Linked DNA regions of Arabidopsis thaliana. The protein of the gene in region 2 interacts with the protein of the main gene of each other region in a biochemical or structural test. Each region holds a gene or a part of one and is shown on either strand. Other genes may lie near its edges. The genes, in order: TSPO and GAMMA-TIP.

Evidence for each region.
Region 1: the proteins of GAMMA-TIP (region 2) and TSPO form a complex in vitro, tested with the Arabidopsis thaliana proteins (one study listed by BioGRID).

Annotation. Positions count from the first base shown.
Region 1 is NC_003071.7:19,563,549-19,575,612, reverse strand, and holds TSPO (TSPO(outer membrane tryptophan-rich sensory protein)-like protein), read right to left. Parts: upstream 7,150-12,064; 5' UTR 6,913-7,149; coding exon 6,322-6,912; 3' UTR 6,106-6,321; downstream 1-6,105. Other genes in the region: ABCC4 (multidrug resistance-associated protein 4), read right to left, coding at 1-669; AT2G47790 (Transducin/WD40 repeat-like superfamily protein), read left to right, coding at 2,667-2,815, 2,897-3,110, 3,201-3,296, 3,441-3,515, 3,605-3,715, 3,806-3,897, 3,972-4,056, 4,155-4,511; AT2G47780 (Rubber elongation factor protein (REF)), read right to left, coding at 4,749-5,132, 5,214-5,537; ALG3 (asparagine-linked glycosylation 3), read left to right, coding at 7,392-7,557, 7,657-7,691, 7,769-7,906, 8,013-8,081, 8,259-8,416, 8,485-8,551, 8,647-8,700, 8,890-8,978 and 5 more. UniProt on the Arabidopsis thaliana protein: Stress-induced membrane protein that can bind heme and may play a role in the transport of tetrapyrrole intermediates during salt stress and contribute to the detoxification of highly reactive porphyrins in the cytoplasm.
Region 2 is NC_003071.7:15,438,933-15,451,467, forward strand, and holds GAMMA-TIP (gamma tonoplast intrinsic protein), read left to right. Parts: upstream 1-6,361; 5' UTR 6,362-6,557; coding exon 6,558-6,941; intron 6,942-7,032; coding exon 7,033-7,404; 3' UTR 7,405-7,689; downstream 7,690-12,535. Other genes in the region: AT2G36810 (ARM repeat superfamily protein), read right to left, coding at 61-115, 227-317, 491-530; AT2G36815 (mid region of cactin), read left to right, coding at 1,837-1,904, 2,089-2,344; AT2G36835 (uncharacterized protein), read right to left, coding at 10,907-10,957, 11,586-11,654, 12,039-12,149, 12,232-12,375. UniProt on the Arabidopsis thaliana protein: Water channel required to facilitate the transport of water, diffusion of amino acids and/or peptides from the vacuolar compartment to the cytoplasm. Does not promote glycerol permeability. May play a role in the control of cell turgor and cell expansion.

The DNA.
Region 1 (12,064 bases), 4.1 Mb from region 2:
GATTCCTCTGACGGAGGCGATGAGAAGAAAGGCGGTTAAAGGGAAGGAGAAGAATGAAGCGACGTCTTCTGCTCTCAGACTCGTGGCGGCGTCGGAGAGAAAATGGAAAATCCCAGTGACGGCGAAGAGAGACGTGAGGACGAAACTGGAAATCCAGTAGATTCGTAGAGATAAGGGATGATTTAGAGCAGCGAATCTCTTCTGGTGGAGGACGAGAACGGCGATGACTAGGTGTGTAACGGCGTGAATAAGCCAAAAGAGCGGGTCTATGAGGTTCCATGGTCTCTGAGTCCGTCGCTTGCCAGTGAAGGCCAAAACGCAGAGCACGACGGAGCAAAACGACAATAGAACGGTGACTGCGACCGTCGTTTTGAACCATGCGGTTGTTCTGGTTGGGGTTCTTCCACGGATACCAATAAGAGGTTTCCTAATCTCAGCGTGTCCGTTGATTTCGGAAGAAGAAGAAGGAGAAGAAAAGAGCTTGTGAAGAGCGAAGCAGAGGAGGAATATAAAATCAACGGCGGAGAAGAGAGCGCGTTGAGGGCAAGGAGAGAGTAAAACAAATCTGAGCCATTGGATTGGTACTGGAACTGAAGACGTATGTTCTACAACAGCCGAATATGAACATGAGAGCTCAGAGAGCCATGGAGAAGACGAAAGCAACCACATTTTTCCCAGTGAAAAAATATAAAAAAGAGAGAGAGAGAGGAAGAGAAAATTCCTCTGAATTATCGGTTTGTTTGAAGTGGAAAATGTAAGAAAGAAGCTCCTGACATTAAAAGGTACCGATTATCACATCCCACAATAGTGTGACTGGTGGTGTACAACAATGACGCTGCAACAAAAGGCCAAACACAAAAAGAAAAAGAAAAGTTGACTATCATTTTATTACTTATGAATCTTTTTTTGAATAAAAATGATAGAAACTTTGCTATTCACGTGTTAATCATATTATCTACTAAATAATTACTACTATATGATTATATATTATTAGAGGATAGAAAAAAAAAAAAGTCTGTTGGGTCAAACCATTAGAAAATTGATTAAATCAGTATTTTAGCATTAGAGTCATTTTCTCGAAGATTACGCTAAGCTGATTTCCAACAACTAATAATCTTTTAGTTTCGCTTTTTCAAAAAAAGAAAGAAAAAAGATGTTTTATGCACTCAATCATATATGGTCATCTAGTCTTACCCGTAAACTGTCTGCTATTTTTATTTTCTTTACACTAAGTTTGTTTTAAAACTCAAAGTTGTTTAATGTTTTAATAGGACTTATTGGAAATAATATTATTAATGACGTATCCACGACCTTGACCAGTGTACACAAAATATATAGCTATATGCGTTGTCTAGCTAAATACTGCCAAGAGAAGACAAATTCTTGGTTTTGGGCAAAAGAAAAGACAAATCCATTGGAACGAAAATTCGAATCTTTTATCATTAGCTAATTACATGCCGTAGTATCTTCTAAATTTGGTTGAGAAAATCGAGTTTACGATTTGTTTTTAGTCTACTAGTTAAACAAGAGACACGCGGAAACCTTTGTTAATAATATATAAACAGCCGCTTAGGAAAAATTTAGTATTTTGTTGACAAGATCAGCAGAAGAAAGAAAGGAACTACACCATACTAATAAATTAATAATAAAGTTACCAAAAAGTGGAAAGGGTCGTGTGAGATTTGTCTTCCACTGAGTTGGTCGAATTGATTAAGAAAGATGAATAAGAAGAGTCTATGAGAATAAGAAAAGTCTTATTAGAAAAATTGGACCAATTATTGGAACCCTTTATATCATGGAAATATGGAATGATAAAATTCTATCACTCTCATATATAATATAAAGTGTTGTTGTATTGTGTGAAATAAAACTGTGTTGCTGCAAAAAAGTGGTGATAATATGAGACGTAACGTACAATTTGCTCCCTTGAGAAAACGTCGTCATGATTAATATAAGTTGACGTTCCCAATTTTATTACTCCTACGTAATAAAAGGGGGACGGGCCGGAATATCAGTTTCCAATCAGAGCAGAGTTGTCTTATCGCACTTAATTATTTGCAGGCTACTTGTTGTTGTTACTCGTTTCTTTTCCATTGCCATGTGTAGAGGAATATAACGATTAGCAAGAACGAAAAAACCGACTAAAAGATATATATGCAGAGAAAAAAGATCGACATAGAGTTAATTACCGCATGTTACTTGTATTAGTAATAATATTATGTTATGGGTCAACACACCTTTATAATATTAGATCCGATCACTGACCGATCGGAGCCATTGAAAAAGGACATTTTCATAAATCTCAATATCAAATGATATCTGGTTGTAACCACTAAATCTGTTTGCTACCATCACGTGGCTTTCTATATGTTTCTATCCGTTTTTTAATTTAATCTTTTCACATTTTAGTATGTTTATGTTTCTATGGACATGTTTAGAAGAAGCGCACGGTGAGCGAGCGAGTTGGTTGTTGTTTCCTTGGGCTAATAATCGTATTGGACCGTGCGTTAAATGGGCCGAAAAGGTTAAAACAGGCCTAAATTTTGACCTATAGAGTTATAACCTTCTCTATGACTTAGAGAGGTAAGTGCTAATCCTCGTTTCGTTTTGATCAACGAACAAACCCTAGACCGTTAAAACCCTTATCAATTTCGCTGAAACGGCAAATGGAAGAAGTGTCGTCGGAGATGGAAGTGGAGGTTCAAAATCGTCAGCTTTCGGATTCTTCTCCGGCTCAAAACGTGAAGAAATTTGGGCTCAAGAACTCTATTCAGACCAACTTCGGCTCTGACTACGTCTTCCAGATTGTCCCAAAGTAAAAGCTTTCTGTTCTCTCTTTTCGATAACCATACTAATTAGTTTACTGAAAGTGAACCCAACTCTGGTTTTGTGACAGAATCGATTGGACAGCAATCGCGGTTTCCTTATCAACCAACACCGTCAAGCTTTACTCGCCGGTGACTGGTCAGTACTACGGCGAATGTAAAGGCCACTCCGATACCGTCAATCAGATTGCGTTTTCCTCCGACTCGGCGGCGTCTCCTCACGTTTTGCACTCTTGTTCCTCCGATGGTACCATTAGATCTTGGGACACTCGAAGTTTCCAACAGGTGAGTTTTTTTTTTTTTATATAAATTCTGTCGTAAATGTGATTCCATTTTCGGAACTCATTGAATTTAAGTTGATCATGGGTGTTTCAGGTTTCGCGTATTGATACTGGGAATGATCAGGAGATTTTCAGCTTCTCCTATGGAGGTGCTGCAGATAATCTTCTGGCTGGTGGATGCAAAGAGCAGGTTAGGCATCTCAATCCTGTGGAATCGTGTTTTTTTTTTTGTTTCTCTAAATGTTTAAAAAGGAGTACACTTTGAGAAAGAAAAAAGGCTAGTTTTGAGCATTTTCTATGTTTCAGCTTGTTACAATCTGAAGCGATGGTGCAGGTTCTTTTGTGGGACTGGAGAAACTCAAAGCAAGTTGCTTGTTTAGAGGAATCCCACATGGACGACGTCACTCAGGTTTGTTGCTCTCTCATTCTTTCTGCTCAAGCGGGAAAGGAACTAGTTTGTTGTTAGTTTATAGATGTCAACTCTGTTCTTAATTATAGGTACACTTTGTTCCTAACAAGCCCAACAAGCTTCTTTCCGCTTCCGTGGATGGATTGATATGTCTTTTTAACACTGAAGGTGATATCAATGACGATGATCATCTGGAATCTGTAAGTTTTAGATTTAAGGTATCAGCCTTCTTGCTGCATCAAGATAGTAGATGAGAGTTCTGAACCATTTCTGCCTTGGTCGCTCTTTAGGTCATCAACGTGGGAACTTCAATTGGCAAAATAGGTTTCCTCGGAGATGGCTATAAAAAGCTCTGGTGTCTCACTCATATAGAAACTCTAAGGTACTCTTTCACGCCCTCCTCTCCAACTGTAGTCTGTTACTTGTGCTGTTTTTAATTTCTTTACTCCTTTCTAGTATTTGGAATTGGGAAGACGGAAGCTGTGAAGTCAACCTAGAGAAAGCTCGGGAACTCGCATCAGATAGTTGGACTCAAGATAATGTAACAATCTCATTCTTTCCCTTCTAGTAAAACATTAACACTAACCAGAAACCTAATGGTTACTTACAGAGTTGAACTTTCCCATTACTCTTTTGCAGGTTGATTATTTTGTTGATTGTCATTGTCCAGGAGGTGAAGATTTATGGGTGATCGGTGGAACGTGCGCAGGAACCGTTGGTTATTTTCCGGTGAACTACAAACAGCCTGGATCAATCGGTACCGCTGAAGCTATTCTTGGTGGAGGTCACATAGATGTAGTAAGGAGCGTTCTGCAGATGCCAGGCGAGTATGGAGGAGCTGCAGGGTTATTTGGATGGACTGGGGGTGAAGATGGGCGACTATGTTGCTGGAAGTCGGATGAGGATGCTACCGAGATTAACCGGTCTTGGACTTCAAGTGAGTTGGTTGTTAAGCCGCCAAGGAACCGCAAGAAAAACAGACACTCTCCTTACTAGTAAACAGATACTACTTTTTGGGTCTTGTGTCTTTTATAAAAGTTGAGACTGAAGAGGACAGTTTCCTTTATGTCTCTTGTTCTTGTTATTATTAAAAGGCAAAGTTGTTTAAATGAAATATTGAAGAAAGATTACATCTCTTGGGATAGCAAATTGCAGAAAGGAAAGAAAAACAGAGTACATACAGTATATATACTCTATAGAAGAAGGAATCTTTGGCTTCAGAAGAGTAAATAGTCAATCAGCTCGACACTGATCTTGTTCCAAAATATCAGAGATCTTCTCAATAGGAATCATGGGTAGATACTCTGCCCCAAAGTAGTCTCTGTCGCCAACGTAACGAACCGCATCGTTGTACTTCTCTGACCAGTAAAACGCCGTGGGGATCACTAAATGCGCAACTTCAGGGAACAACGGCAGTTGATTCAGTAAACGCCACAGCGTCGCTGCGTAATACTCTGCCGCTGGCTCGTACTTGTCCCGGACGCTTCTTGCAATGCTCTTGGTAGTGTCCACAACGCCGGTGCGCTGCACCTCCGTGGCCACCGTGAGCGCTTGGCTAGAAGCTTGCTTCACCAATGACGGAACATATGTCTCAACATCGAAGAACACATCGTCCACCTGAAAACCAAGCAAATCATTTGCCTCTCACTCATGAAACCGAAGCGATATTCAAGTTAAGAATTACATTCTGATTGTTACCTTACGATCGACGAAAAGGAGAAGCTTGAAAGGAACGTCGTGGAATTTTTCGTATAATGGAGCAAGCACGGTTCGAACGCAATCTTCAATGTTCTCGACGCCGAGTTTGAGTGGACCAGCGTTGTCTTTAGCCAACTCGTAGAGGGTCGAGAAACAGGCGGCGAAGTAAACCGCCGCGACTTGAATGAATTCCAAGTGCTTGAGCTTCATCTCATCGTCGTCTTCCACCACTAACGAAGGCGAAGACGAAGAAGATGGTGGAACTGGAGTAATCTCCTGTGGCTGTGATTGCTCTTCTTCGACTACTATTTCATCTTCAGCCATTGTCAAAGACTTGGTGCCGTTGCAGACAAACGAACCGCTCTCTCTCTCTTTAAAAAGACTTATATCACACCGGACGGCTCAGATTTGAAACTGGTGAGCCACGTGGCATGTTGCTGCCATGCTCCATTTTAGTTTTAATTTAAGCGAAAGGGATTGGATTGTGAGAGACGAGTGACCTCTAGGACAGCTGTCCTATTGACAGATGTCTTACTCTTAATGGACCGTTTTCAACACGTGTCGAGGTATGGGTCGAGACTGTTGCACGAAAGCCACGGCCACTCCGTCGGCACGAGTCTCGAGGGTAAATCAAAAAAGCACAAGGACCTCTCGTTCGCTATCATTCATCCACTTTTTGTATATTCCCTCCAAACCTTACATGATATCATCACGTGTTAAAATGGATTGGGCCCTAATCCTCGAGTTCCTATATTAATTTTAGGTTTACCACTGACTGAGAAGCCCACAAAACAGTGTCAACGGCCCAACCCAAAACTGATCAAAGTATAGTTGGCTTTACCGTTTGAATTTGTTCCGTTTCGGCGACATAAAAGTAAAACGATCGCCTTTTAAGAATCTCACAGTTTGATTTCAGACCAACGCTTAAAACTTCTACAATATCACATTATTTCTCAAGTATATCATGTTCATGTCTATTACTCCACAATGACCAGACCATTGGATCGCAAAGACATCTTTTATGGTATATATCACAAAAAACAAAAACAACAAGAAACACTCATATGACTCAGACTCTACAAACATCATCGTATAGCGTTTACAGATCTCACGCGACTGCAAGCTTTACATTAACAGCGGCTACAAAGGCAGCCCAAGCCAAACACGGCTTTACCAGATTACCAGCGACCGGACTTATCTCATTAAAGGCCTTGTAGCATCCGAATAACGCAGCCGATTGACCCAACCACACCGCAAGCCCCGCTACTCCCGACCCGACGCGGAACGTAACCGGATCCCAAACCAAACAGAGCAAAAACTGAGCTAAGTAAAGATACAGAGCATTGGGCTTCTTGTGGAAGCCACCGTCAACCCATACAAGCCACGCAGCCAAACCCATCAGACCACTAGAAGCGAGACACGTTGTGTGTAGGAGCCACAGAGGTGGGATCCACGACGAGGACTTAGCTCGATTCCCGTATCCGTCGCTTGTGCCGAGGAAATACGTAGCGAAGAGCGTCACGAGCACAGGAGCCGCAACCGCTACCGTCAGAGACTTGAGACCACGTTTCGCCATCGCCCTCTTTTGATCGCGTTTTCCTTTGTTGTCGTCAGCGCTTTTCCTCTCTGTCTCGGCCATAGCCGTCGTTGCAGCGTCTCTGTCGTCTCCGCCGCGGTATCTGATGTCCTGAGAATCCATTACAAACGTCCAAAACAGAATCGAAGGAACAAGATTACTGAGATTTGAGATGTTGGATAGATGGAGAAGAAGCAGCTTGGTCAAAAGAGAGTATAATCAGGAGATGATATTAATAGACAAGAAGAAGAAGCAAAAAGGCCAAGGCTCTTGTACACGTGGCGAGTGATATGTACACGTCGAATGCTAATTAATTGTTTTTTGTTTTTAGATAACTTTGTGAAAAAGTGTGGACACGTGCTTACTCTATATGCTCATGTCTGATGCATACACACAGTTTTGGGACGATTGCGATGCTTATTTATTTATCGCTTAATACTTTTGCATTATTAAAAAATAAAACAACAATTGGGCTCTACACCGACTAAGACAAGAAGCCCAATAGGCTCATTTAATTTGGGCTAATTAGAAGAGTAGTAATATGGAAGTAGTTGTCTGTTACGCGGCGTTGGCTAGACGCTGATGCGATTTGCTCTGTTTTCATGGCGGGCGCCTCATCACCGGCGAGTTTGAGAGCTTCTCGTAGCCGTCGGCTGGGGAAGGAGACGAATCGATCCGATCTATTCAAAAAACCTGCAGTTCCATTCGCATTCGCGCTAATTCTTGCTGATGCAATCCTAGTCGCACTTATTATCGCCTATGTTCCATGTGAGAGCTATTTACCTCCTTTTTTTTTTTGCTTGCGTATCCCTCGAAATGTGCATTTGCATAGGTTTTAAACCAAATTTCGTCATTTGCCTTTAACAGACACGAAGATCGATTGGGATGCTTACATGTCACAGGTAAGTGTCAATGGTCAACTGTGGTTTCTTCAAAGTAAACTAGTAGTCTTTAAGTGAAATTTATCTAATTGGGGCAGGTTAGTGGGTTTCTCGGGGGAGAGAGAGACTATGGGAACTTGAAAGGCGATACAGGGCCATTGGTTTATCCAGCAGGTTTCCTCTATGTTTACTCTGCAGTGCAGAACTTAACTGGAGGGGAAGTCTACCCTGCTCAGGTGCTTGCAATTCCCTCTCTTTGAATCTCCTATCTTTGGATTAGCTGCGGAATTTGATCCATCCATCGCTTCATTTGTCTCAATTCTACTCTCTTACATTTTGCAGATTCTTTTTGGTGTTCTCTACATTGTCAATCTGGGGATCGTCTTGATCATCTACGTGAAGACTGATGTGGTATAAATGAAGACTTATTTCTTATCTCTTTTCATCAAGTATTTGTAGACGTTGTCAAGCGTTGTCCATTTACGATGTTAATGAACAATATTTTGGTTTTGATTTGTCTGTTTATGATGGGAGTGATTTTAGTGAATTCAGTGATGATATCTCTTCTTGTATCCTTACGTATTTCAGGTGCCATGGTGGGCATTAAGTCTACTATGTTTATCCAAGAGGATACATTCAATCTTTGTTCTCCGTCTCTTTAATGATTGTTTTGCCATGACTCTCCTACATGCATCAATGGCTCTCTTTCTCTATCGTAAATGGCATCTAGGGATGCTTGTTTTCAGGTTAGATTGCTGCTTTTGCTTCTCGATTCTTTAGATTGACTAGTCTGCTTACCCTTCTTTTTATACAGTGGAGCTGTTTCTGTAAAGATGAATGTACTTTTGTATGCTCCAACTTTGTTACTTCTGCTACTTAAGGTATATATGTTCGTGGAAGAGAATTAGTTTATGGATTTGCTTTATTATTCTTCTAGCATTGTTTTTCTTCATATGTGAAGTTTTACTATTCACAGGCCATGAATATCATTGGAGTGGTGTCTGCTTTGGCTGGTGCAGCTCTTGTTCAGGTTTCACTATATCTCTTATAAGCCTTCTTATTCACCAATTTGTATGCGTAGCATTGTTTCTCCAAGACAATTTGGAAACTTGTTAACTGTAGTTTCTTCAATGTAAATAGGTGAGTTGCATTATCCAGCGAATTATAGTTTTGATTATGCAAGAAGTACCATTCAGCTGGTCAATGAATGGTTATACAGATACTCGTGGGACTGCCGTTTCTGATAACATATCCGGTTTCATACATAGCAAACGCCTTTGATCTTGGACGTGTTTTCATTCATTTCTGGTATTGTTCGCTTCTCTCCCGCCAAATCTAAAAAACATGTTGATGGGATCTAAAAATGTCTTTTGACCTCTAACTCTAGTTTGAGCTCTCAACAGGTCTGTTAACTTCAAATTTGTTCCAGAACGAGTTTTTGTGTCCAAAGAATTTGCAGTATGCTTGCTCATTGCTCACCTTTTTCTCCTTGTGGCGTTCGCAAATTATAAGTGGTGCAAGTACGTACAATCATAAGGCAGCTGCAATTTGAAAGCAGTTGCAGTTTGTGTGTTTAGCATTAGTTGTAATTAATATGTTGATTTTATAGGCATGAAGGCGGGATTATAGGCTTCATGCGTTCTAGGCATTTCTTCTTGACACTTCCGTCTTCACTCTCGTTCAGTGATGTATCAGCCTCACGGATTATTACGAAAGAACGTAAGCTCTTACTGTTATTTTAGCTTATGTTTCCCTATGTCCATACTTACAGGCATTCCACTTGATTCGCAGATGTCGTCACGGCCATGTTTGTTGGGAATTTCATCGGCATTGTATTTGCTCGCTCTCTGCACTACCAGTTCTACTCATGGTAACCAAATAACCTGGCTAAATCTTACGTTTCTCGAACATTCTTAGCCTCAACCCCAATACTCATATGATCATAACAGGTACTTCTATTCGCTACCTTATCTACTATGGAGAACACCGTTTCCCACTTGGCTGCGGTAAGTTATTTCTGCATTTCTTACTGTAACAACAGTTAAAATATCAAAACCTAACTCGTCTTCTTGTTTTTCTTTTGGCTGTAAAAGCTTGATCATGTTCCTCGGCATTGAGCTCTGTTGGAATGTTTATCCATCAACACCGTCCTCCTCGGGTTTGCTATTGTGTCTACACTTGATCATTCTGGTGGGTCTCTGGTTAGCTCCTTCAGTCGATCCTTATCAGCTCAAAGAACACCCTAAATCCCAAATACACAAAAAAGCATAACTGAACCTTTTGATGCTCTTTTTTTTCTTCTTGTTTCCAAGACTTAGAGATAAGCTAAAGAAAGTAACGGTTAACTTAACTATATGTGTTTTGTAAACATGGTGATTTATAATAAAAAAATTTGTAATTTGGCGGCAATTACATGTGTTAATGATTTTGGTCATTAAATTCTAACAATTATTTTAGTACGAAATGCTTTAGAATTAGACACAAGGTATTTGTTTTTCAACGGCATTGGGAATCTTCCTGTACTAAAAGAAAGAGAAGAAACTAAAAAATGAGAATTTTAAATTTCGTAGTTTATAGTCGTAATGCTATTAAACTGGGTTCTTAGCTTTTCCTTGATTTGACTTGGTGTAGAATATGTGCCTCTTGCGTAATAATCTGTCCTTGCAAGTGCAAAATCTTCCTCAGCAAATATGCTAACTTGTGTATTAGACTTTTCACTGTTGTTGTCTTATTGTGTTGAATCCATGGTAATTTCTTTCTTTTTGTTTTTATTCTTTTAGTAACTTCTTTGGCATTGAACTTGATCATGTAGCATAGAACATAGCTACTCTATGATCATTGATCAAGGCAAGTCATAACCGATATGGGCGTGGATTGGATCAAGCTGAATCTAGATGAAGCGAATTAAAACAGACCATAGAAAGATCTCCAAAGCTCACTAAGGACTTGAGGTCATTCTATTACCCCCTTCATGATTCGTGTTGTCTCATAAAACCACGAGGCTTTAAGACATTTTTATCAAGAAATTTCTATTGCCCCCTTCATGATTCTTGTTATACATTCACTGATGACGAAGAATGATTACTATTGTCCATGTTAACTTTAGCATCAACACTTGTTTCAGTTGTTTGTTTGTTGAAAATAGTACCTTTTGTTGTCAAACTGTTATCATATTGGAATGATCATCTGTGATTAGAAAGAAAAAAACACAACTTTTTTGATACAAGAACTGTTTCCTTAACCTCCACAGTGACTAGGAAAAGAGACTTGTGGTTTTCTATATAGTTCTTGGTTTATTAGTCACTGTCTGTCCTTGTGTTCTGTTGATAATTGCCTAAAGAAGGTAAACAAAGAGTTTTTCAGTTGTAGTTACATTTATGGTCTCGTGATACTTCTATTAAGTACTGGTCGAGAAGTGTCTCTGTTAAAACATTGGCTGGTGCTGGCAAATGAAAGCTTGACGCCCAAAATAGGAAGACATGAGCTTATTTTCTTAGGCTTTTGCTTCACCTTGTCTATCTATTTTGATTTCTTTTACTTATTTTTGCTCCTTACCATGAGAGTCATCTTCATTTCCTTTTCTTTCTCTTAATAAATAAGATAAGACTCGGTGGTTACATAGTCTTGATACATATGGCATACAGTGTTCTGCATCCATTGAATCTAAAGTTTTTAATGTTTACTCTTGAAAATGTTGATAGTCATCTTTCAGACTTACCTTACATAGAAAAACTTCTTCTTACAGCTGATATCAGCTTGTCTGTTGCTTTTTTGTTGAGTGTGAATTCCATTAACACGGAAATGCCAAGAAAAGTGAAGTTTTTAACCTTTCTACAACTTGCAGAGGAATAATAAACATGTCACTGATATAGTCAAAAGTTTGATTGTGACACTAGAACAGCCATGTAGTTTCGTGTAACAACTTCTCATTTTCACCCTAATTAAAACATTGGTTCACATTTAAAAACCCACATAGGTTTCATTGATGCTGTGCTGTTGAAACTCAGCTTTAAACAGGGAAATCTGGAGAGGGAACAAGATCTAGCTTGTGGATAAGACTATGAACCAATAGAATCTGAGTTTAAAAACTGTTAGATCTCTTTTGTTTTTTATGGGAATGGTGAGAAGTGAATCACCATGCATGGAAAAGGGTCAATAGTGCGATACATTATATGCTAAACTGAGTCACCAAAATAACAGAGAGAAGCAAGTTTAGCTTTTTGTTTGTCACTAAACCCTTTCTGCATATGGAAAAAGAATCCACACCCAACAGCGTCCACAATGTCTGGTTAGAGTTGTTCCTCTTGAGGGACAGAGTAGCGTCAGCAGTTGTTTAGCTAGTGGTGGACTTTCGCCAATAATCAGATGCGGCGAGCACCAAACGCATCATGCTT
Region 2 (12,535 bases):
AAGATTTAAGTTTCAACCCACCAATAAAAGGAAACAAAAGACAAGCAAACAGAACATTACCCTTCGTCCTCCACGAGACACAGCATAGCAACAATCAAGTACCAGAAGCGGATTCCTAAATAAAAAAAAAAAAAAAAAATCACACAACAGCTCAGTATCAAAGATCTCCCGATACTCATAGTTGCATGTCTTGTGTACGAAGTAAAATGAGATAAATAGTACATACAGGGAGGCAATATCTCTAAGAGAAGCCATGGAAGCTTCTCTAACCACAGAGGAATCATCAGCTAGAGATGATACCAGAAGTTGAACAGCCTCTGCCAACAAAATATAAAAAAAGTAAACTTGATCAGATAAAACAGACATTGCCAAAACCAATGTTGACCCAATTACACAATTCAAGAGTTTTCGATCAAACAAGCCAATACACTGATCAATTTGAGGTAGATTAAAAAATCGAAATCGAAGATTCAGGAAGAAAGTTTTATACCTGGTGCAGGGATTGAGCTCCCTAAACTTGAAGAAGCCATTTCAAAAACCGATCAACTATTTCAAAAACCCAGAATTTCGAAGACCAAAAATTCGACTGTTTTGATCGATCAAGATTTTTTTCAGACGGAGAAGAATCCGACCGAGAGAGGTGAGAAGAAAGAGAGAGCCAGCTCTCGGAGCTCGGTAGTTAGTTATGAAATTTGCGTCGCCTCTTGTCGGAGGGACTTGAATGTTAAAAAGAAAAAGTTTGGGGGAAGAAAACAAATATATGAAACCAATTGTAACCGATGGACCCATACCCGACAAGACGGGTCCGGGTATAATAGCGGTTTTTTTAAGCCCGTTGCTTTTGGATCATTCTTTTGTTTCTATAGATTGATAAGAATGCTCAAATTATTGGCCCAATAATTTGAGCGGTGTTCTCTGAATCACTTTGTTCCTTTTTTCTTTCAACACTAACTAGAGTGTAAATTATGGCTTTGAATGGAGGAATGCAAGTGTTGGATGCAGCAAAATTGGAGTAGTAACACTAATAAGTGACAATTAGGATGATGATCATCTATAAGAGTAATTATTATAAACTTTGGCTTCATTTTTCTATTTCCATTTGTTTGTGTACTACCAAAAAATTTACACAAGTGGGTAAAAAATTCGTTTTGCAAAACACTGCTTTCAAGAGACAAGTATTTACCATGACTCTTGTAGATAGAGATCGAGTTCCAATTCCTCTAACCGATAATTTATAAATCTATTATCTTCACGTAGGTAGGATAATGGCGGAAGAGTGAAGATTCCATGAGCAATTTTTGTACTTCACACACCGACTTGAATCTAATGATACATGTTAGCAATATTTTCCCCGGAAACATTTCTCTAGTCAATTGGCTTTGCTTCTTCTTAGCTGTTTTCTTATGTTTGCTTCTTCTCGCCTTCTTTCTCCTATATTTTTTTTTTCCATAGTGTGATAATTAAGGGCTTGAACCTACAAGAGTTTTCTTTATTTAATTATTTTATTAATGCTTTCAATTTTTTCCTAATTATTATATTTGTAATAGTTAAATTTAATATATTATTTTTTTCTTTTAAAGAGGTAGAATGTGGTGTGCAATTACCAATTAGGAGAGGTTGGTTTAAAAAAATGGAGAAAATTAAATACCCTTTTTCAGTTTTTGCTTTGGACTAAGTTTAGCCTTTTAGCTAAATATACGTAAAGGCTCGAGCATAACACAATCCGATATTCTGAAAATCTGTTTCAATCACAAGATCCATTATCGTCGGATCGGAGAGGAGAAGTTTTCACCACCGTCCCACTGATCTCAGATTGTCGTCTCCAACTAGACAAATATGAATTTTCATGGTAAGAGTAAGAGAGATAGGCATGGAAGGCGGAAGAAGCAGAGAGACGAAATCGAGTATATGGCCAAAAGGGCACTAAGTGCTTCAAAGAAACTGAAGAGACAGTCAGTTATTGGGTACTCCAATGATTCAAACCCTTTTGGGATTCCAACATAGCCGAGACATTCGTGTGGCGGAAGAAGATTGAAAAAGATGTTCATCATGGAGCATCTCTAGATGAATTCTCTGTTAAACTAAGAGGATCAGAGAATGGGAGTTAACTAAAGCTCGTAGAAGAGATGAGGAATTGCTTGCTTCTCAAGAAAGAGCACTACACGCTGGTGTTGAAGCTGGTGTGAGAGAACTTCTTGATGGGAAGACTCACGCGGAGCTTGTACAACTGCAGTTTGACATCGAATCGCAGCTGCGCTCTGGAGCAGCCAAAGTGGTAGAGTATAGGGAAGCGGTTCTTAAACGCCTCAATAGATATAAAGCAAAGGCTTGCTTGAAGAAATAAACGCTGAGATACTTCAACTTTAAACGACTTCGGTACAGGCGATAAGGTGATTGGAGTTTTGGCTGGAGAAAACAAAAGTGGGGCAGTTATATATAAGACTTTGGCTGGTGTACTATTAAGGGTTGATTTCAAATAAATGAAATGCCTTTTGTGTCCAGAAAATACATCTACATGGTGGTAGTTTCTATCTTACAAAAGTGGCAAGTTATAAGACGTTGGCTGGCTAGTATCTTGTTTGGTTTGTTTCTATATACTTACTTTCCCTTTGTTAATTTTGTGAAACGTTGCTTGTTTATTGATAATCTCTATTTCGCATGCGTTCATTTCTGGATGATGTTCCCTATCTTCTGATTTTGATTTTTGTATTGTTAAACCGTACTTCCCATATAACACATTTTTCATTTTGTAGCAATGACCAATGAGCTTTACTTACAACATCTTGAGATGATAGCACGAAGTCGAACTTTCAAGTTAGCAGAATTGTAAAGGGCACAAAATAAAAGCAGTATATGGGTAAATGTCACCAATAAAATGCACCATGGAGAGCCGGAGAGAAGGTATGTTATTTGAGTCGGTATCAAAAACGAAAACAGTCACTGGTCAGGAAAAGTTACTTCTCCCATATGATATATCGGCAGATTTGGTATGATGTGTGCGAGTTAAGCATCTCATTCGTTAATAAAAGCATTAGCTATAAACAAGGAATTATCCATCTTTATATAACCTTATTGCAGAAATTTCTCTACCATAGCAATATAAATACGGTCCTTCTAATTTTGATTTTGCCGCTTGATTACTTTTGAAAATAACTAAATCTGGTTACTATAATTAAGTTTTTTAAGTGAAATGAATAAATTTGTGGTTAGATGATTCATGATTGTATTCATTAGGGGTCCCATAATCTAATATATTTATACTATCTTAATTTGTCAACGTGATGATATTATTTTCTGCATTGAGAAGCCATTTAAATTTGCATACACTCTTTATCACGTTAAGAAAAATCATTAAAAGTATTATTTAAGTCAACAATAATAATGTGATGTGAATTCTTTCTTGGTTCAAAAAGAAAACAAATTCTTTTTTTTCTTATTGGTCGGCCGGGTTAATAGATTGGGCGGTGTGGATTGTAGTTCGCTCGGATCATACTTAGAAATATTGTTGGTTTCTTCCCTCATTTTTGTCGACTTAACTATTTTGGGTTGTTTTGACCCCAAAAAAAAAAACCCACTATTTTGGTTTAATAGACAAAATTTAGTCTCTGTTGTTTAATTTTGTTTGATGGAAGTTTATATTGGTCCAAAATGAGATTCAGTTCAAATTAAATAAATAAATTATCTATTTAACCAAACTTATTTAAAAGAATTTATATGCTCTCAATCTTTTTGTTTGTAAAGATTTAAAAGTTAAAATTTTAAACAAATAACAAAATGGAGCAACGACGAATCTATCAACGTACGTACGTTCTCAGACATTACATTGTACAATTATTTCGACAAAAAAAAAAGCCTCATTGATTATCATTTATATATTATATCATAGAGATTCGTGCCCCTTATCTCGTTTTTTTTGCAAGACTAAACAAGTAACAAATTGCCTAGCTGCCTAAAGAAGTGAAGATAATACTCTTTCTAAAATCACAATATTCTCATAGTAAAAAAAAACATATTTATCATCATATCGTCCAAATATTTCAGTTTTGTTGTTTGTTTAACAATACAAATTAACAATGATTTAATTTGGAGCACTTGAATATAATAGTACACCGACCACAACCCCACACAATTCACAAACTTGAGAAAGAGAGAGAATATGCCCAAACTCACCAAACCTAATCATTTTCATAATTAACGAAAAAAATAGTTTCGGTAAGATGATGATGTCTTAGTTAACTTTTGCTTACTACTTTTTTAATCATTAAACAAAAAAAAATATTAAAAATCGTTTTCACTTGTTCAATACATATTTTTAAGTTTTATTTATAAGGAAAAAAACTTAATAGCTTATTGCACCAAAACTAATATGGTCCTTATGGATCAGTTTCATGTTTTTAGTTTTTTATGTAATGAAAATTTGAATTATTTTCTAAAAATATGTGTACGATATGGTTCGATTTAAATAGAAACCATGGTTCAAAACGTCAGATTAGTAACGTTCATAAAACTGAACGACTTAATTATGTCCACGTATACGGTTGGTTTCTTTCAACGTTTTTAGATAGTTAATGCTTTGAAATCTTAGTTAGTTATACAAAGGTAAGGTAAACGGTCCAAAAATGATTGTTCTCAATCAAGTTTTAAATAAGAAGGAGAAAAAGTCAACAAGGAAATGCACCAATCAATAAAGTGTCACCAAATATATGAGGAATTCCGATGATTAGCTAGCGTTTTGAAAATACTTCGGCTACTAGCTATGTTTTTGAGAAGTACGTACATGTGGTTGGTAAAAGAATACTGGAACATTGTCACTAGAACGTTCGTGATTGTACGCAGTATTCATGCCAGTTGATGTTGTGCACCATCAATGTTCATTATGTGAACCACCCAAAAAGGCAAAAACAATGGATCATCCACCTAACAATCCACCCCAATCTAGGTAGTTCTAAAATCACACGACTTACATCAAAGGAAAAGTTTCACATGTTTATCAATCACAGGTCACAGTATGTTTGAAAGAGATGATAGAAAAAAGATATCAAATTTGTCCCGTGTTGATAGGAAAGTTGGTTTGGTATCGTATTATAATTTTCTCTACACACACACGACTCATGTTTCATGTGTTAAAAAAAAAAAGCAATCGTTTTAATCCCTTCCAATTTATATAAATCTGCGGGCTCTGTTTTTATATAAAGAAAATTGGATCAGTTGTATGAACTTCGAACTGTGCAAAAAACTTCAAAATGGTTCAACTATTTTGTCAAGGCTTGTAAAATAAATAAAAATTAGCACACTGTTAAAATTTGTAGTATTATATTTAAAAAAAAAAAAGATCAAATTAAACAAAAGAAAAACGAAATTATCACGTCTTTTATTTATTATTATTTTAAATAAATAATATGACATTTTAAATTTTGTTTGGAAATTAATCACTTTCTGGCAGTACCTCTCAGCCGAATTGTAAACCTAAACCGCCCAAAAGGGACAGATTGCATCGTGGTGGTAGGACATTCATAAATTATTATTTTTCCTTAAGTGGAGGGCCGTCACACAATACTTTTTGCCCAATAGATAATTGGCCCACAAAATAAAATGCTAAAATAAATATATAATCTTTCTGTATGATTGTGAAAAAATGTGAGATTGTCTCGAATGTTAAAATTTGGTGCCACAAACAATATAAATATATAATCACAGAAAAATTGGTGCCACAAACAAGATAACATCTTATAATTTTCTCGTATACTTGGAGAGCGAGTTGAAAGAATTGCGATTAGAATAAAGCGTAGTGATTTGGCATTGAATATCATTTATGCTACATAATTCTACTTAGCGATAATATAAAAAAATATCATAACTTATGGTTAGCATGTAATGTCACTATACGAATATCAAATTCATAAAACTAGCCGTGACTTATCTACACAGAATTATTTATGTTTCGAGAATAAAGACCCAAGAGAAAACAACGACATTATAACAAAAAAACAACGACAGATTATAAGTAAGGAAGAAACAAATGACTATAGATTAGATATGAAATATTTTTAGTAACCATCTTTAGTTATAATTTTTGTTTTGGAGCTTGCTCCGTATACTCAGTTGAGTATTTTTACCACACATATATCAAGACTAAATTCTACCACTAATCAAGTAAAAACCTCTTAGCAAAATAGTTGGAGAAAAACAAGAATAAAATCGTATTATTTTCCTCTAGAACTATCGATCATTCGAGAGAGAGAATATGAAAAAGGGACAAAAGCTCTATACATGTACAAACATGACAAGTCATTATCCGCCACGTAGATTGGTCGGTTCCGCTTCGCTGGAATTATAGCGATGTACTTGTTTAGCCTGTTTTCAAAATTATTTAAATCTCTAACCGCTCCAATCAAATAATTTCTCCACCAAATATTAATAATATATCATCCGGTAACCGGTCACCAAAATGGCGCCACCTCAGATATAAGTAAGAGCACATAGTAGACCAGAAAAAATCATCAAATCCATCTCCCACTCTTCTAGCATCTTGAAGCTTAAATCTCAGCCGTCCGATCATGCCGATCAGAAACATCGCCATTGGCCGTCCAGATGAAGCCACCCGTCCCGATGCCTTAAAGGCGGCGTTGGCTGAGTTCATTTCAACTTTGATCTTTGTCGTCGCCGGTTCAGGCTCTGGCATGGCTTTCAACAAGCTCACTGAAAACGGAGCCACCACTCCTTCTGGTCTCGTAGCTGCTGCAGTGGCTCATGCCTTTGGACTCTTCGTCGCTGTCTCAGTTGGTGCCAACATCTCTGGTGGACACGTTAACCCTGCCGTCACTTTCGGTGCTTTCATTGGTGGTAACATCACTCTCCTCCGTGGTATCCTCTACTGGATTGCTCAGCTTCTCGGCTCCGTCGTCGCTTGCCTCATCCTTAAATTCGCCACCGGTGGCTTGGTATGTCAAACTACCCTTTAGCCCTTTATTAGATCTCTTTTTGGACCTAACTTCTTTGTCAAGTAACTAATTAACCTTTTGAAAATTTTAGGCTGTGCCGGCTTTTGGTCTCTCTGCTGGAGTAGGAGTGTTGAACGCTTTCGTTTTCGAGATCGTGATGACATTCGGGCTTGTTTACACCGTCTACGCTACAGCCATTGACCCCAAAAACGGGAGTCTTGGAACAATTGCTCCCATCGCAATCGGTTTCATTGTTGGAGCCAACATCTTAGCTGGAGGAGCTTTCTCTGGAGCCTCCATGAATCCCGCCGTGGCTTTCGGACCAGCGGTGGTGAGCTGGACATGGACCAACCACTGGGTCTACTGGGCCGGACCTCTCGTCGGCGGTGGAATCGCTGGACTCATCTACGAAGTTTTCTTCATCAACACCACACACGAGCAGCTCCCAACCACAGACTACTGAATTAATCTCTCTTTTTCTCTCTTGTGTAATTTTATTCGACTTTGAATTTGAATTTTAATGTCTTTTTAATTTCCGTTTGTGTAATTTCGAATCATCAAGGGGTTTATGATCGTTCGATCTTTTAGATGAATCCTTGTCCGTTGGTTTCAAGAGTGGCCATTGCAATTTCGACTATATAATGTGAATTATGTATCAATCTCATCTTAAGTTTTCAAGTGTTGCAATATCTCTTTTTGCCATTTTGTCAAACTTTTAAATTCCACATCAGTCTTATTACACATTAACTTTATTTATGACCGAATTTATAAGAAATGAGTAAACAAATTATGAGTAATAAAAAAATATGATATATAATTATATATATTTTTTAAAAAAACTAGAATTTGATACAAGTTTCGATCTATTTACGTCTAACAAAATTCACCATATCTTTAACAAAAAAAAAAAAAAAAAAAAAAAAGAAGAAGACAAATTAAATTCACCATATGTATATGTAAAAATTTGAAAGTTGGAATGGTTGGCGTTTTGCAATAAGGGAATAAAATGATATTGTAGGGGTCAGTCAGTGAGGGTTACTAGTCAATCAATACTCAATAGTGAATACGGCTTTTCTTTTTTTTATGTTGCTTTGTATTTGCATTTTGCAAAGGGTGTGAATTTAGAAAAATAAGATCCAATGAGAAAGATTAATCTGTTTTCCTTTTACTTATTTTAAGCAGTAAGATTGTTTTGCAATAGAGATCTCAAGTCTCAACCATACTTGTCAAACAGGTCCGACCAAAATCAAGACATGATTCGATGAGGTGCTAAGTTTGACGTTGCCTAATGTCTTCGTTTGTCCGATACCATTTTCGGGTTTTATAACAAAAATTAGAATTCCTGTTTGGTTTTGGCATTTTAGAGATATTTCAAAATCTTTGGCCAAATGGATACGGATTGGCAGAAGCACGTGAAAACGTCTGTACCAATTCCTTACAATTTCATTGTCTTTTCTTCTACTGATCAAGGAGAGTTTGAAACTTCGGTCGACGCCACTAGCAGAATCGTACACTGGTGCAATTGCCGACATATTATCTTCCGAATAAGTTATGTTTTCTATACAAGAACATTGTAACTTTGAAGGTAAATATGCTTCGTTACATTAGAGTAACTATCTTTCAAATGTGATCACCATTTTCTATAATTAGATTTTGAGATAATCTGAAGATTTATTTACGCCATTTTAGACTCATTATAATATATGTATATTGTTGTATAATTTGGCAAAATTATATATTATATGATATTATCTAGAATGTTCGATATAATATTCAATACCCATGTGCCATTTTGGAAACTTATACCTAATGTTTTTGTAGGTTTCTCTTTCCCTTTTCCCTATAAATGTGTAATTTCTCATCAACCTTTTTGTGAGTGAATAGTATAATAAGAGTACACTCATAACTCGTACCAAACCATTATGGTCCTTATCAATCATATGGCTCTCTCACAAGCCACAAATCTAGTTCTTCCTTTATTAATTAGACTAGGTCGGTCACATGAACTAAACATAAACTTTTCATACATACACCGTAACACGCAGAATATTTAGAATTCAATCTCAAGTGAAAGTTGAACCGCATCAAACTGTAACAATTTTTATCTAGCACTCTAGCAGTTATATTGATGTTTAAATAAAGAGAAACGACCTAGCTGCAATAATATCAAAAGCAATTAGATCAAACTTGTTGGCGTTTCCTTTTATCTTTCTGCTATTGTGAAGATTGAAAATATATACAAACTAAGCATCTTATTGGCACTAATTAACCACGTTAGGGCAAAAGTGATTTCACAAATTCATTATCGTTAAATATGTCAAAACAAAACAATATGGGATACAGATTCGCAGGAGGGACAAAGCCAAAAAACTATCAAAAGTGATTGAAAAATGGACCGTAAAAGAGGACAGCTGGTTGGTCACTATCTGCTAAAGAGTAAATAGCTGAGTGACTGACCAATGCATAAATTATTAATGTTTGGGTCCCAAAATTTTCACAGATCTTCATCATTTTTAGGTTTTCTTCTCTAAATTATTTTCATTATTAGTATTCCAGTCTTCTAGGAAATGATAAATAGATTTATTATCCTTATGAATTTTGTTGAACTATGATTCATTATATGAGAGTATTTTGTAGAAACTAAGTTGTAGTAAAGAATACACATGATTAACATTTTAAGATACTAACCATTCTCACTCATAGAGTAACGTTTTTGTCTGCATACATCACCTTTCTTTTAATACAAGAAGAAGATTAACAAGTATCAATGTATCATCAAGGTACATTATTAGGGTTCTCTTTTCTCAAAGATATTGTTTATACTTTTAGGGGGTGTTATTCGTTAATGGATTTTAATAGAATTGAAATCCAACACTAATCCACTGTTATTCAACTAATGATTCTAAATCCAGCTTTAAAATCTAGTGTTATTGGAACTCATATTTGTAAATCATGCTTAATAGATTTTAAAGTTTGGTGTTATTCAATTAAGATTTTAAATATTTCATTAAAACCCAATGTTATTCAAAACTAAAAGACTTGTAAAATCTTTGTATATTAATTGATTTGAAACGAAACCTTTTTGGAGTTTCATGAGTAAATCATTAGAATCAAAATCCAAGACATATTGCAGAGATTTTGAAATTCATACAAACATATTCTTAAAAGCAATATCAGAAAACAAATCTAAAGCTTAAAGAATTGACTTTAACTCCATAATTGAATAACACCATCTTAGAGTTTACTTTTTGTTTTTCTAAAGTAAAACTGGTACACACGTTGTTGGGTTTGTGGAGAGATTATGTTCACTTTTTATGAATTCAAATGGGCCGGGCGGTGCCTAACATTCTCTCCGTGATTATTTAAAGTTTTCGCTTCTTTCTGTTACTCCAACGACAACGTCACTTATCAATGATCTTGTTTATTAAATCATATTTCTTACGTGAGACAACACACTACTTGGACAATTTTATTCCGTGAGTTTTACCTTAATCGGTTTAGAACTTCATTTTGGTTAACCATACGTCTATGGTTAGTTATTTTTAGGTCGAATTCTATTTTCAGCGAGTGTTTTAACATGTGTAGTTCGTGAAATCGGTAAAAGCTTTGTATCGTTTACGATCCATCGACGAAAGATGGTTTATTCTTGACTCCTGAGATCCCATTTTGGAACTCAAAAGAGAACTTCATTCATTTCGACAAGGAATGAGTGGAAAACTTGAAGAACGATGGAGATAATAAGCCTTTAAAGACATTTTTAAAACTGTCATTAAAACCAATTATTTGATAGTATATAGATTCTGTCTGTAAAAATCCTCTATACAAACACACGCACACCGTATTCAACTTTGCTCATATCAGATCTCTCTGCCACTAACAAGTTCTGGCGACTAGACAGATATCCCGCAATCCCAAAACTCCAGGTGTAGAACCTTGACAAGTATATGACCGGTTATCCACTGTGCTTAGCGGTCAATGAAGGACTTATTCATCAGCTCGACAGCGTTGTCCATGAACTGCATTCTCAGGAACAACAGATAGATCATTGTTAACTTACAAGTTACAACCATCGATAATAGAAAACATCAATTATGATCATGCTAACAAAACAGAAAATAGGTTCTAATGCGTTCATACTACGTGCTGAACACATTTCATTTCTAATTATGATAATGATTGACCCGATGCTCAATCAAAATTCCGGTCTAACCGATATTTTCTGCCATTAGCTGTTTGTGTGCAGATGATTAATCTATGCATACCAATTAGAGTTCAGGTTTCTCGGTTAGAACCAAGTGGCTTGACTAGTAATGCTACCAGGATCCAACTCCCACTAAGTCTCCCTTGTTGAGCCACATAATTACTTTAGGATTTTTCCTAACTAACGAGCTTACCCACACACAAAAAAATGACCATCTATGATCTTGATATGCGAGGAGTTATAGGATACAATAACCTAACCCTCTCTTATAATAACTTCACATAACACACTAGCCTTAGGCAAACAAGAGCTTTAAGAGTTCAAATTAAACAAATACAGAGAATGAAACAAGATTATCCAAGGTATTGGCTCATATTGACAAGGTCATATACAAGTGGATAAATTTGATTAAGACACATAGCAATAAAAGTGTTGGTCTTTACCTTCCCAAGCATTTTCAGCTCCTTTCCCACTGGTTCCAAGAATTTAAGATCAACTTCAACAGGCCACACCTATTCAAATACACCCAAAAATGAAACTATTAACAAATGAAACCTCATACTCCATGAATGATTAAAAACCTATGGAATAAAAGAAACTAATATTTCCCTTATGTTCAGACCTAGGCAGCTCTACGGTTTAAGAAACTAATCTCAAGAGTGAGCCAAAAATCAAAACTTACACAAAACTACCAAATCAACTCGAACATTCTACAAGGAAGACAACAGAAGATGACACTTTTCCTGTATGAATTCTAAGCCAATTTGAATACTAAAAACTTCTACTACACACATGCAAGCACAACAAATAACTATCCTCATTCTTTCCAATTCCAACACTCAAACATCATCAAGAGAACTCAAACTAAAGTAGTAATTTCTCAATAAGTAACAAACCTTAACACCAAGTAACCGAAGAGGTGTTACTTGGCCAGGAACAACGCATTCAGGTCCTGCGGATTCAAGTACAGCTTCCATCGCAAACCCACCTCCCACAGGATTCGGATGCTGCAGAGATTACACGCAACCCCATAATTAAAAAAAACTGTGAAAATTCCCAAATTTGATTGCAATCCGCAAAACAAACAACCTTCATGACGGAAATGGCGTAATCGGTTTCTGGGTTTTGAGAGATAGATAAAACCGGAGAGCGACTGATCTTAGGCACTGGTCTTCCTGACGAAACTCGCCATGGTGCATCCTCAGCTAGCGTCGCTCCTCCTTTCTTCGCCATTAAAGATTTCGTTTTTTTCGTTGGAGAAGCAGAATTCGAAATTGAGAGCCCTTAATTTATTCTCAAAGTGGATAGAAAGATTTATCTAAATTGCAAAGTAGAAAACTTTGTGGTCAGCTTTCGGATTGTCTTCGTGTGCTTCTTAAAGAGTCGCCATTTT